Linked DNA regions of Neurospora crassa OR74A. The protein of the gene in region 1 interacts with the protein of each later gene in a pairwise test. Links are inferred from orthologs where the notes say so. Each region holds a gene or a part of one and is shown in the gene's direction. Other genes may lie near its edges.

Region 1 (4,484 bases):
CCAACGATGGATGGACTCACATCAGATATCAGGGGACTTTTCTTTCGAAAGAAATGACCAAGAACGAGACAACGGGTGATGTATGAACCATAAGCAAGGAACGCCACAGCTTCCGAAGCATCAACATCAACAATCACAACCACAACCACAACCAACAACAACCACAACAACAAACTTGCCAGTCATAGCGCTTATTCTTTGCAGCTTTTCGCATTTTGGACGGCGTTCAACCAGGAGTTACACTTTCATTTTCGGGGTAACAAAAAAGGGGAAGGGGGGAGCATTGATCATTCCGGGATTCTTGGGATAGGGCACTCATGATACCACATAACACGCATTCACTCAAGCTTTTCTCTATTCCTTCGTATGGGTTTTCTTCTTTCGATGTCAGATAGAACATGTCCCGGCTTCCTGTCAGAATCAGCATTGATTTTTTTTTTTTTTTTTTTTTTTTTTTTTTTTTTTTTTTCTGTTTTCTTGCATGTCTGAACCAAGCAAGTCAATGCATTTGGTTGGTTTTGTGTAGAGTGACAAAGGGCTCGGTTGGAAACCTGCCTCATAGTATTGGAAGATACCAAGCCACCTGATTCAGACAACAAATAAATATATTTACTCTATACATACATATTCGAACCGGCAGCAACAGATTTTCGATCATGAGTCTATCAAACCATGGATTCGAATACGTTTGCGTAATCGTTTGATGACGCCATTGCACTACCTCACTATAACAATAGCGAACTCCACGTGTTTCTTTGGTTCCTTTTTTAATATATTTTCATAGGCTAGAAAGATAGTGGTGGTCAGCAAAGGCGAGGGACGACGCAAGATGACTTGCTTGGGCGGGATTGAGACGAGAGCGGGAGTAGCCGCTGTGGCAAAGCACAACCTCGAATGCCAAGAGATGGCTCCGTTGAACTCCAGCTTGACCCCTTTTTTAGTATTTGACCAAGTTTCTTTCAACAAAGCACGGAATGTTAGATACTTTTGCTTGCGAGTTGGGAATTGGTGAGATGTTTGAAAGGGGTGAAGTATGTAGATAGCGGCCATTCAAGTAGTATGCATATTATCATATCTGTTCATCGCTGCCCTGCATCTGCAGTCAGGCATTCATATGTATTCCTTCGTACTCGCCGCGTTCTGAAGACGTTAGGATTTCCATTCAAGCATGACATTACCCTGTCTGCATCCCATTTCCTTTGCAAGACCAAAACAGCATGGCTGAAGAGCTCCAATCGTCTCTTTCCATGGTGGAAACCGTCAGATGCGATTTCCCCCATGGCATGATCTTGGGCTGAGGTTGCCAGTGCGGCAAGGATAGGTTAGTTTGGATGATCTGGAGAGGGTACGTACCGTCCAACCAAAAATCCGAATACGAATGCGTTGCCCCTGCTCTTATGATTGGCTGGGAGACATCAGACTGCCCAACTCCTATTCGCCCGGAGGGAAAGCTGCTCCCGAAAGGTGAGGTGGTCCCTGAGCTTCACCAAGCTGGTGAAAGTGTGCTGCTGTCACCCCAGTTTTACACTACCACTGCACTGCCCTTGGTCCCTAGCTAGGTGGGTAGACCTCCCCTCCCCTATCAGCCTATCGCTAGGATAGGTCGTAGCCAGAGAGGGAAAGGCTACGATAACCGCCAACCATCGACCGACTTTATAAAATCAAGTCGCGTCGCCCATCTTCTCCCCTTTTACCCCCCCTCCTCAGGCTACATTCATTTTCTTGCTTGTTTGCTGCCGGCGTCCACGACTTTGGCTTCGTTCCCCTCCACGCCTTCTCCCCGCCTCCTTCTCCAACCATGGGCATCCTGCAAGTCGTTGCGGGACCGCTGTCCCAGCAGTTTTCCCAGCTGGGGACGGTGTCGCAAATTGGTGTCGCGATCGCCTCCTTTTTGTTTGTTGCCGTCGTCCTCAACGTCCTCCAGCAGTTCCTCTTCAAAAAGCCTAATGAGCCGCCTCTCGTCTTCCACTGGTTTCCTCTCATCGGCAGCACCATTACGTATGGTATGGACCCGCCGCGTTTCTTCAAGGAGAACAGGGAAAAGGTAAATCCTCCAACCGCCTCCTGTTGGGCTACGCGCGAACTTGGCTTGCTAACGATCTCGGCGCTCGAACAGTACGGCGATTGCTTCACCTTCATCCTCCTCGGAAAGAAGACTACTGTCTACGTCGGCCCCAAGGGCAATGACTTTATCTTGAACGGCAAAATTCGCGATGTCAACGCCGAAGAGATTTACACCGTCCTTACTACCCCTGTTTTCGGCAAGGACGTCGTCTACGATTGCCCCAACTCCAAGCTTATGGAGCAGAAGAAGGTTAGCAGAGGCAACAACATATGGAGGTGGTAAAGAGTGTGCTAACATACGGTTTTCACAAGTTCATGAAAATTGCGCTCACCACCGAAGCTTTCCGCCAATATGTCCCCATCATCTCCGATGAGGTTACCAGCTACCTCAAGAGAACCGCCGACTTCAAGGGAAAATCCGGCATCGTCGATATTCCCCCCAAGATGGCGCAGATCACCATCTTCACCGCCTCGCACGCTCTTCAGGGCAAGGAGATTCGCGACAAGTTCGACGAGACGCTTGCCGACCTATACCACGACCTCGACATGGGTTTCTCTCCCATCAACTTCATGCTTCACTGGGCCCCTCTTCCCTGGAACAACCGTCGCGACTACGCCCAGCGTACCGTTGCTAAGATCTACATGGACACCATCAAGGAGCGTCGCGCTCGCGGCGAGACTGGCGCCCAGGACATTATGTGGCACCTGATGAACTCGACCTACAAGGGCGACGTCCCCGTTCCCGACCACGAGATCGCCCACATGATGATCGCCCTCCTCATGGCCGGCCAGCATTCTTCGTCCTCCACCAGCTCGTGGATCATGCTCCGCCTCGCCTCCCGCCCCGACATCATGGAGGATCTCTACAACGAACAAGTCAAGAACCTCGGCGCCGACCTCCCCCCACTCACCTACGAGGACCTCGCCAAGCTGCCCCTGCACGCCGCCATTGTCAAGGAAACCCTCCGCCTCCACGCCCCTATCCATTCCATCATGCGCGCCGTCAAGACGCCCATGCCCGTCCCCGGTACCAAGTACGTTATTCCGACCGATCACGTCCTCCTCGCCGCCCCTGGTGTCTCCGCCACGGACGAGTCCTACTTCCCCCAGCCCGACCTTTGGGAGCCCCACCGCTGGGAGAAGGACTCGCCCCTCGCGCCCACAATTGTTCGCAACGTCCCTAGCGAGGAGGACGATGAGAAAATCGATTACGGCTACGGTCTCGTCAGCAAGGGCGCCAACTCCCCTTATCTGCCCTTCGGCGCCGGTCGTCACCGCTGCATTGGCGAGCAGTTCGCCAATGTGCAGCTGCAGACTATCCTTGCTATTATTGTTCGTAACTTCAAATTCAGGAACGTGGATGGTAGCGATAAGGTTATTGGTACCGACTACGCTTCGCTTTTCTCGAGGCCCCTTGAGCCGGCGAAGATTTACTGGGAGAGGAGGGAGGGTTGCCAGTTGTAAAGACACTGATGTGGTGGTGAGGAAGGGTGTGGATGCTTAGATGGGCGTTCTTTGGTTTTAGTTGTTATAATTATGGAACTGGGTCTACGGCATATAATGACGTGATTGATCAATCATGAAAAAGAGTGTTCTTGGAGACAGGATAGAATAGAGCTCGATGGACCTTATGGGAGGAGTGTCCCGAGGAAGACTCAGGGGAAAGAAAAGGAAGTTGCATTATAACTAATACCTAATACCAACGAACGAACACGGTGGCCTCACTGTCGAAGAACAGTACATCCATTCTTGATTGTTCTATGCACGTGTTGGTTGTTGTTGTTGGAGGTGTGGTTGTAGTAGCCAAAAGAAGATCTGCGAAAGTCTGAAAGGACAACATCACCAGTTCGCGTTGGTGAGTCAAATAATCCGAGTCGAGTCCGACAACCACCAAACGTGTCCTGCACCGAAATGAGTGAACAGTTGAAGGAAATGAAGGAGCAATATGCATTTCCTCTTCGGTGACTCGTTATGCTGTTCTCGATCATGACACAACTTTGCCTGACCGAATGGCTATGGGTACGTAGTTCATTCACTCGCCGCGGGTTGTCCATGGGGGCTATTAAGATCTAGGCATTTCCCAAAAAAAAAAAAAAAAAAAAAAAAAAGGGGGGGGGGGGGAGGGGGGAGGGGGGCTTGACGTAGTTATAAATCCTAAGCGAATCAACAGCCATAACTTCTAGGGAGTTGAAGGGGGTTTGCTACGAGAAGAGCTTATGTAGTGAGGAATTTGCTGGTTTACTCGGTCCCAGCCAACTGGTGGAAAATAGAAGGCCGGATCGAAGCGATATGGAAGTATAAGATAGAGGATGCTTGAACGCAGCCAAGACGGTTCCGAGGATTGCTGATGCCCACAGCACACAGCTCATGAGGCCGGCGAGGAGGTGATGGTTGTTAGAGATGCTCGGAGGATGGTGGAG
Region 2 (4,318 bases), on another chromosome or scaffold:
GGATGAATTTTAGGTACTATGGAAATAATTTTGTGTGGGTTTGGGGCCTGGGCGGTGCGAGTGGCTTGGTGGGGATGCGTGCGGGCAATGGGCCGCTAACGCGATGCACCCTTGTTTCCGCTGTCACTTCCGCCAGATCACACCTGCCGACGTTAGCGCAAGCTCCAAGTGTGGCTGATGCTGCACTTTTGGTAACTGCGTCGACTTTGGGAGATGCAGTGACACAGGGAGCTCGTGTGGCGTCGACTTACCTCAGTCGCAGGCAGTCACCATTAGACCATCTGGAACATCTGACGGGATTGCGCGGCAGTTCGCCTTCAAGCTCGGTCGCATCTGGTCGAGGCCTCGGGAGGACACGATTCCAGTTTGTGTAATCCAGATAGTATATAATCAAAAACTAATCACGCGGTCCTAATTGTAGAGCTTCTTTTGTTCCAAACCAAGTGCCACCTCATCAGACAACTCAGTTAGGGCGTTAACGTTTTGTAGTAGTGCGTCTACCCCTCTTGCCTTACCACCACTTATAACGAAGACAACCCTTTTCCGAACTACTCGATATGCCCACGGCACTAGATAAAGCGTTGAGATCACGAGTGAGTACCTCTTCACAACAACACAACATCCCGAAGCAATCATGCTTGTCGAATCTCTTCTGATAGTTTCCGCGAGCAAGAACGCATTTCTTGGTGAGCTTCTTTTTTAACAGTCGGGCAGTCGACCGAAGCTTGACTAACCCCACATAGCATTCGCCGGCATCGTGACGGGTGTCGCCGCATGGTCTATCTTTGGAGGCGAAGTGTTTCCTCAAGACCAGGCTGACCCAAAGGGCAATCCTGAAGAATGGACTCGCGAGGAGATGCGCAGATGGCTTGCACTGGTGAGTTTTCAAGTTTGTTAGAAGCTGACGCAGAACTCGAAGCTAATGTTGTGAGCTAACTTTGATGATCACCAGCGTAATCTTCATCCACAAGATTCGGACACCCGGGAGCAGTTACTGGAAAGGATCCAAGCGAACTTGAGAATCCCAAGACAGTGAACTGGTCGTGCTGGAGAAATCGGAGGAGCCCTATGATATGTTTATACCCCTTGAAGAATACCTAGCCTGCATTTATCTCTGTTCCATGTTCTTGAGGACATTACTATCTTCATAGCATGCTGCCCGGCGATGGTGTCGTCAGCTGGCTAGAGGACACATGGCTGTTGAATCCTGTTCTCCCATCGTACTTGCATACTCGTGATCCTAACCGCTAAATACAAGATCATAAACCGGAAGCCACACGATATGACTACATACTATAGACATCGGGAAATGCGCCTTGATGACAACAGGAAACACTGTTATGTTCGGAGATCTGTAGGGTGACCCGGCAACATGCGAACAATCCAGCGTTGCGTCCGGGTTCGCGGCGGGGGAACCTCTACGACCGGGCTTATCGATAAGATTTACCGAGCGGGGCGAGCGCAAGGAGAAGTAGCCCGACCCAATCAGCATGTGTAACTTCTAGTGTTGGCGACTGCGCCATACACAGCAGGGTACGTAGCGGTACATGCCTGCAAGGAAGCTCCAAGCGAAACTGGGGCAAGGACAGGTTGTTGTTACTGTTTGTACCTTGCCTGGCATTGTGCTTATAACCAATGCGGCGGACAATCTGACACGGTCTTTTGGCTTTCATTGTTCCAACAAACAAACATTCCATTTGCGCATTCGGCGGAGCCTCTAGTAGACACGCCCTTATTGCGCGACGATGGAGTTCCTTCAGGTACGTTTTGCGAAATCCTTCTCCTCTGACATCCAAGGCGTGCACCGGCTAACATGGCACTCTCAAAACGACAGCGTCTCGCGAGGTTCCTCGACCGGCCTCTCTTTCCCTGGAAGAAGCTGATCATCGGCTTCTCCCTCGCCAACTACTTCATCGAAGGTTTCCTCGGTTATCGTCAGTATCAGGTCCTCAAGAAGACCAAGGTCCCCAAGGTGTTGGAGCATGAGGTGTCCCAGGAGGTCTTTGACAAGAGTCAGGTACGATATCCCCTAGGCTACGGGCCAACCGGCCACCATTCTCTGACACACGATACAGGCATACGGACGCGCCAAGGCAAAGTTCGAGTTCTTCAGCGGTATCTACGGTCAAATCCAAAACATCTTGTTCTATCAGTTCGACGTCCTCCCGAAGCTATGGTCATTCGCCGGCAACCTCCTCGTTCGGTTCGCGCCAGCCAGGTTCTCCGGCGAAATCTCGCAATCTATCGTCTTCGTCCTGTCCTTTGTCGTCATCTCCCAGATTCTCTCGCTACCGACTAGCCTCTACCACACTTTTGTCTTGGAGGAGAAGTTCGGTTTCAACAAGTCGTCTGCCAAGCTTTGGATTACCGACAAGATCAAGTCCCTCTTCTTGACCTTCGTTCTCACGCCTCCGATCCTCGCCGGCTTTTTAGCTATCGTGCAAAAGACTGGAAACCAGTTCTTCTACTATCTCTGGGTTTTCGTCGCTGGTCTCCAGGTTGTCATGATCACCATCTACCCGATTTTCATTCTGCCTCTGTTTAACAAGCTCTCTCCTCTTGAGGAGGGTGAGCTCAAGAGCAGCGTGGAGGATCTCGCCAAGAAGCTCAAGTTCCCCCTCTCCGAGTTGCACGTCATTGATGGCAGCAAGCGCAGTGCCCACAGCAACGCTTATTTCTTCGGCATGCCCTGGAAGAAGCACATTGTCATTTATGATACCCTAATTGAAAAGAGCGAGACCCAGGAAGTTGTTGCCGTTCTTGCACACGAGCTGGGTCACTGGAAGTTGGGTCACACCACTAGTCTCTTTGGCATCTCCCAGGTAAGCTGATGCTGCTTTGTTATCCCGCTGTTTACCACGAATTGTGATTGACAATGCATAGGCCCACTTCTTCGCCATTTTCTCTCTCTTCTCCGTTTTCATCAACAACAACTCCCTTTATGCCGACTTTGGCTTCCACACGGTGCACCCTATCATCGTTGGATTCCTTCTCTTCTCGGACGTCCTTGGCCCTACCGACACCCTCATCAAGCTGGGCATGAATGTTCTCAGCCGCAAGTTCGAGTTCCAGGCTGATGAGTTCGCCAACAAGCTTGGCTACAATGCGGAGCTCGCTCGCTCCTTGATCAAGCTCCAGATCCAGAACCTCAGCACTATGGATGCTGATTGGATGTTCGCCACTTACCACTTCTCGCACCCCATTTTGACCGAGAGACTGAAGGCTCTCAACTGGCAGTCCACTGGAAAGGTTGAGGGCAAGGAGAAGGCCAAGGATGGTGAAGAGAAGATTGATGTTGCTACTGCCACTGGGCGGGATGAGCTCTAAGCCAGTGAAGGATGATGCAAATGAGAAGGTGGATGAGGAATTGATAAATAAGGCTGACATGCGCGGGATCACAAATCAAAGGAAATCAGCACACTCAGCGAAGAGTACCCTACTCTATATTGCTTTTAAATCTTCAATTTTTGATAGACAATCTAGAAAGAATCTGGCTTCCATTACTGAACTGAACAGGACGGAGTTCATCAACCTTGAACCTGGAACTTGTTATGCGGTTCATTACCGAATGCAGACCATATTGTCGAGGTAACACAGATGAAATACTTAACCCTAACCCTTGCTTCCCACAGTAGCAGCTGGCAACCGGGTGCAAAAAGCTCTCCCCGGACCCCGGCCGATCAATCGAACTTTGGACGGAGCCGATCCAGCAACCGCGCCCGCTCGTCGCGAACCACTCTATAGGATCCCCGAAACGCTTTGTGTTCGTCCCGGCGCATTCGGTCTCGCCCGGTCCTGTTCCACCCCCGCAATCCTTTGACGTCGACTACCACCACTACCATCATCGGCGACAACCACATTTGTAGACAAAATGTCCAGGATTTTCTCGTCGGCCCTCCAGGCTGTTTTCAAGCCGAGCGCTTTTCTTCCCAAGACTGCCACTCGGTACGCTGTTCTGCTCTTGCCTTCCCTCCCCACCCGCATGCCAAAACACAAACATAGTAACTGACCACTTCCCTGAATACAGCTCATTCTCCATCCTCCCCTCCCTCCGTCCCGCCACCTTGTCTTCCACCCCCAGTACCATCTTCCGCGCCCCCAACGCCATCACCGCGCCCTCGGCCTCCCCTAGTGCTACTACCGGTATCGACGGCGAAGTTCTCGACCTCCTCTCCGCATCCTCCCTTATTTCAAGTCATCCGGCGCTTAGCGGGTTGGGCTCCCAGATCCGCTGCGGCCCGCGCCCGACGATGAGCGGGGCGACGAGGCTGGTGCAGAAGCGCAGACACGGTTTTTTGAGCAGAGTCAAGACCAAGAA

The links.
Region 2: the proteins of NCU02624 (region 1) and NCU03637 interact in a protein complementation assay, tested with the Saccharomyces cerevisiae proteins (2 studies listed by BioGRID). The link is inferred for Neurospora crassa OR74A from reciprocal best matches to the Saccharomyces cerevisiae genes ERG11 and STE24.

What each region holds. Positions count from the first base shown.
Region 1 is NC_026501.1:2,956,536-2,961,019, reverse strand, and holds NCU02624 (cytochrome P450 51), read left to right. Parts: upstream 1-1,530; 5' UTR 1,531-1,798; coding exon 1,799-2,044; intron 2,045-2,116; coding exon 2,117-2,314; intron 2,315-2,376; coding exon 2,377-3,528; 3' UTR 3,529-4,149; downstream 4,150-4,484. UniProt on the Saccharomyces cerevisiae protein: Sterol 14alpha-demethylase that plays a critical role in the third module of ergosterol biosynthesis pathway, being ergosterol the major sterol component in fungal membranes that participates in a variety of functions.
Region 2 is NC_026505.1:1,910,641-1,914,958, forward strand, and holds NCU03637 (CaaX prenyl protease Ste24), read left to right. Parts: upstream 1-1,557; 5' UTR 1,558-1,745; coding exon 1,746-1,760; intron 1,761-1,834; coding exon 1,835-2,017; intron 2,018-2,075; coding exon 2,076-2,822; intron 2,823-2,883; coding exon 2,884-3,327; 3' UTR 3,328-3,582; downstream 3,583-4,318. Other genes in the region: NCU03636 (hypothetical protein), read left to right, coding at 635-686, 744-877, 953-1,036; NCU03638 (hypothetical protein), read left to right, coding at 3,872-3,945, 4,028-4,318. UniProt on the Saccharomyces cerevisiae protein: Proteolytically removes the C-terminal three residues of farnesylated A-factor mating pheromone. Also acts to cleave the N-terminal extension of the pheromone. Does not act on Ras.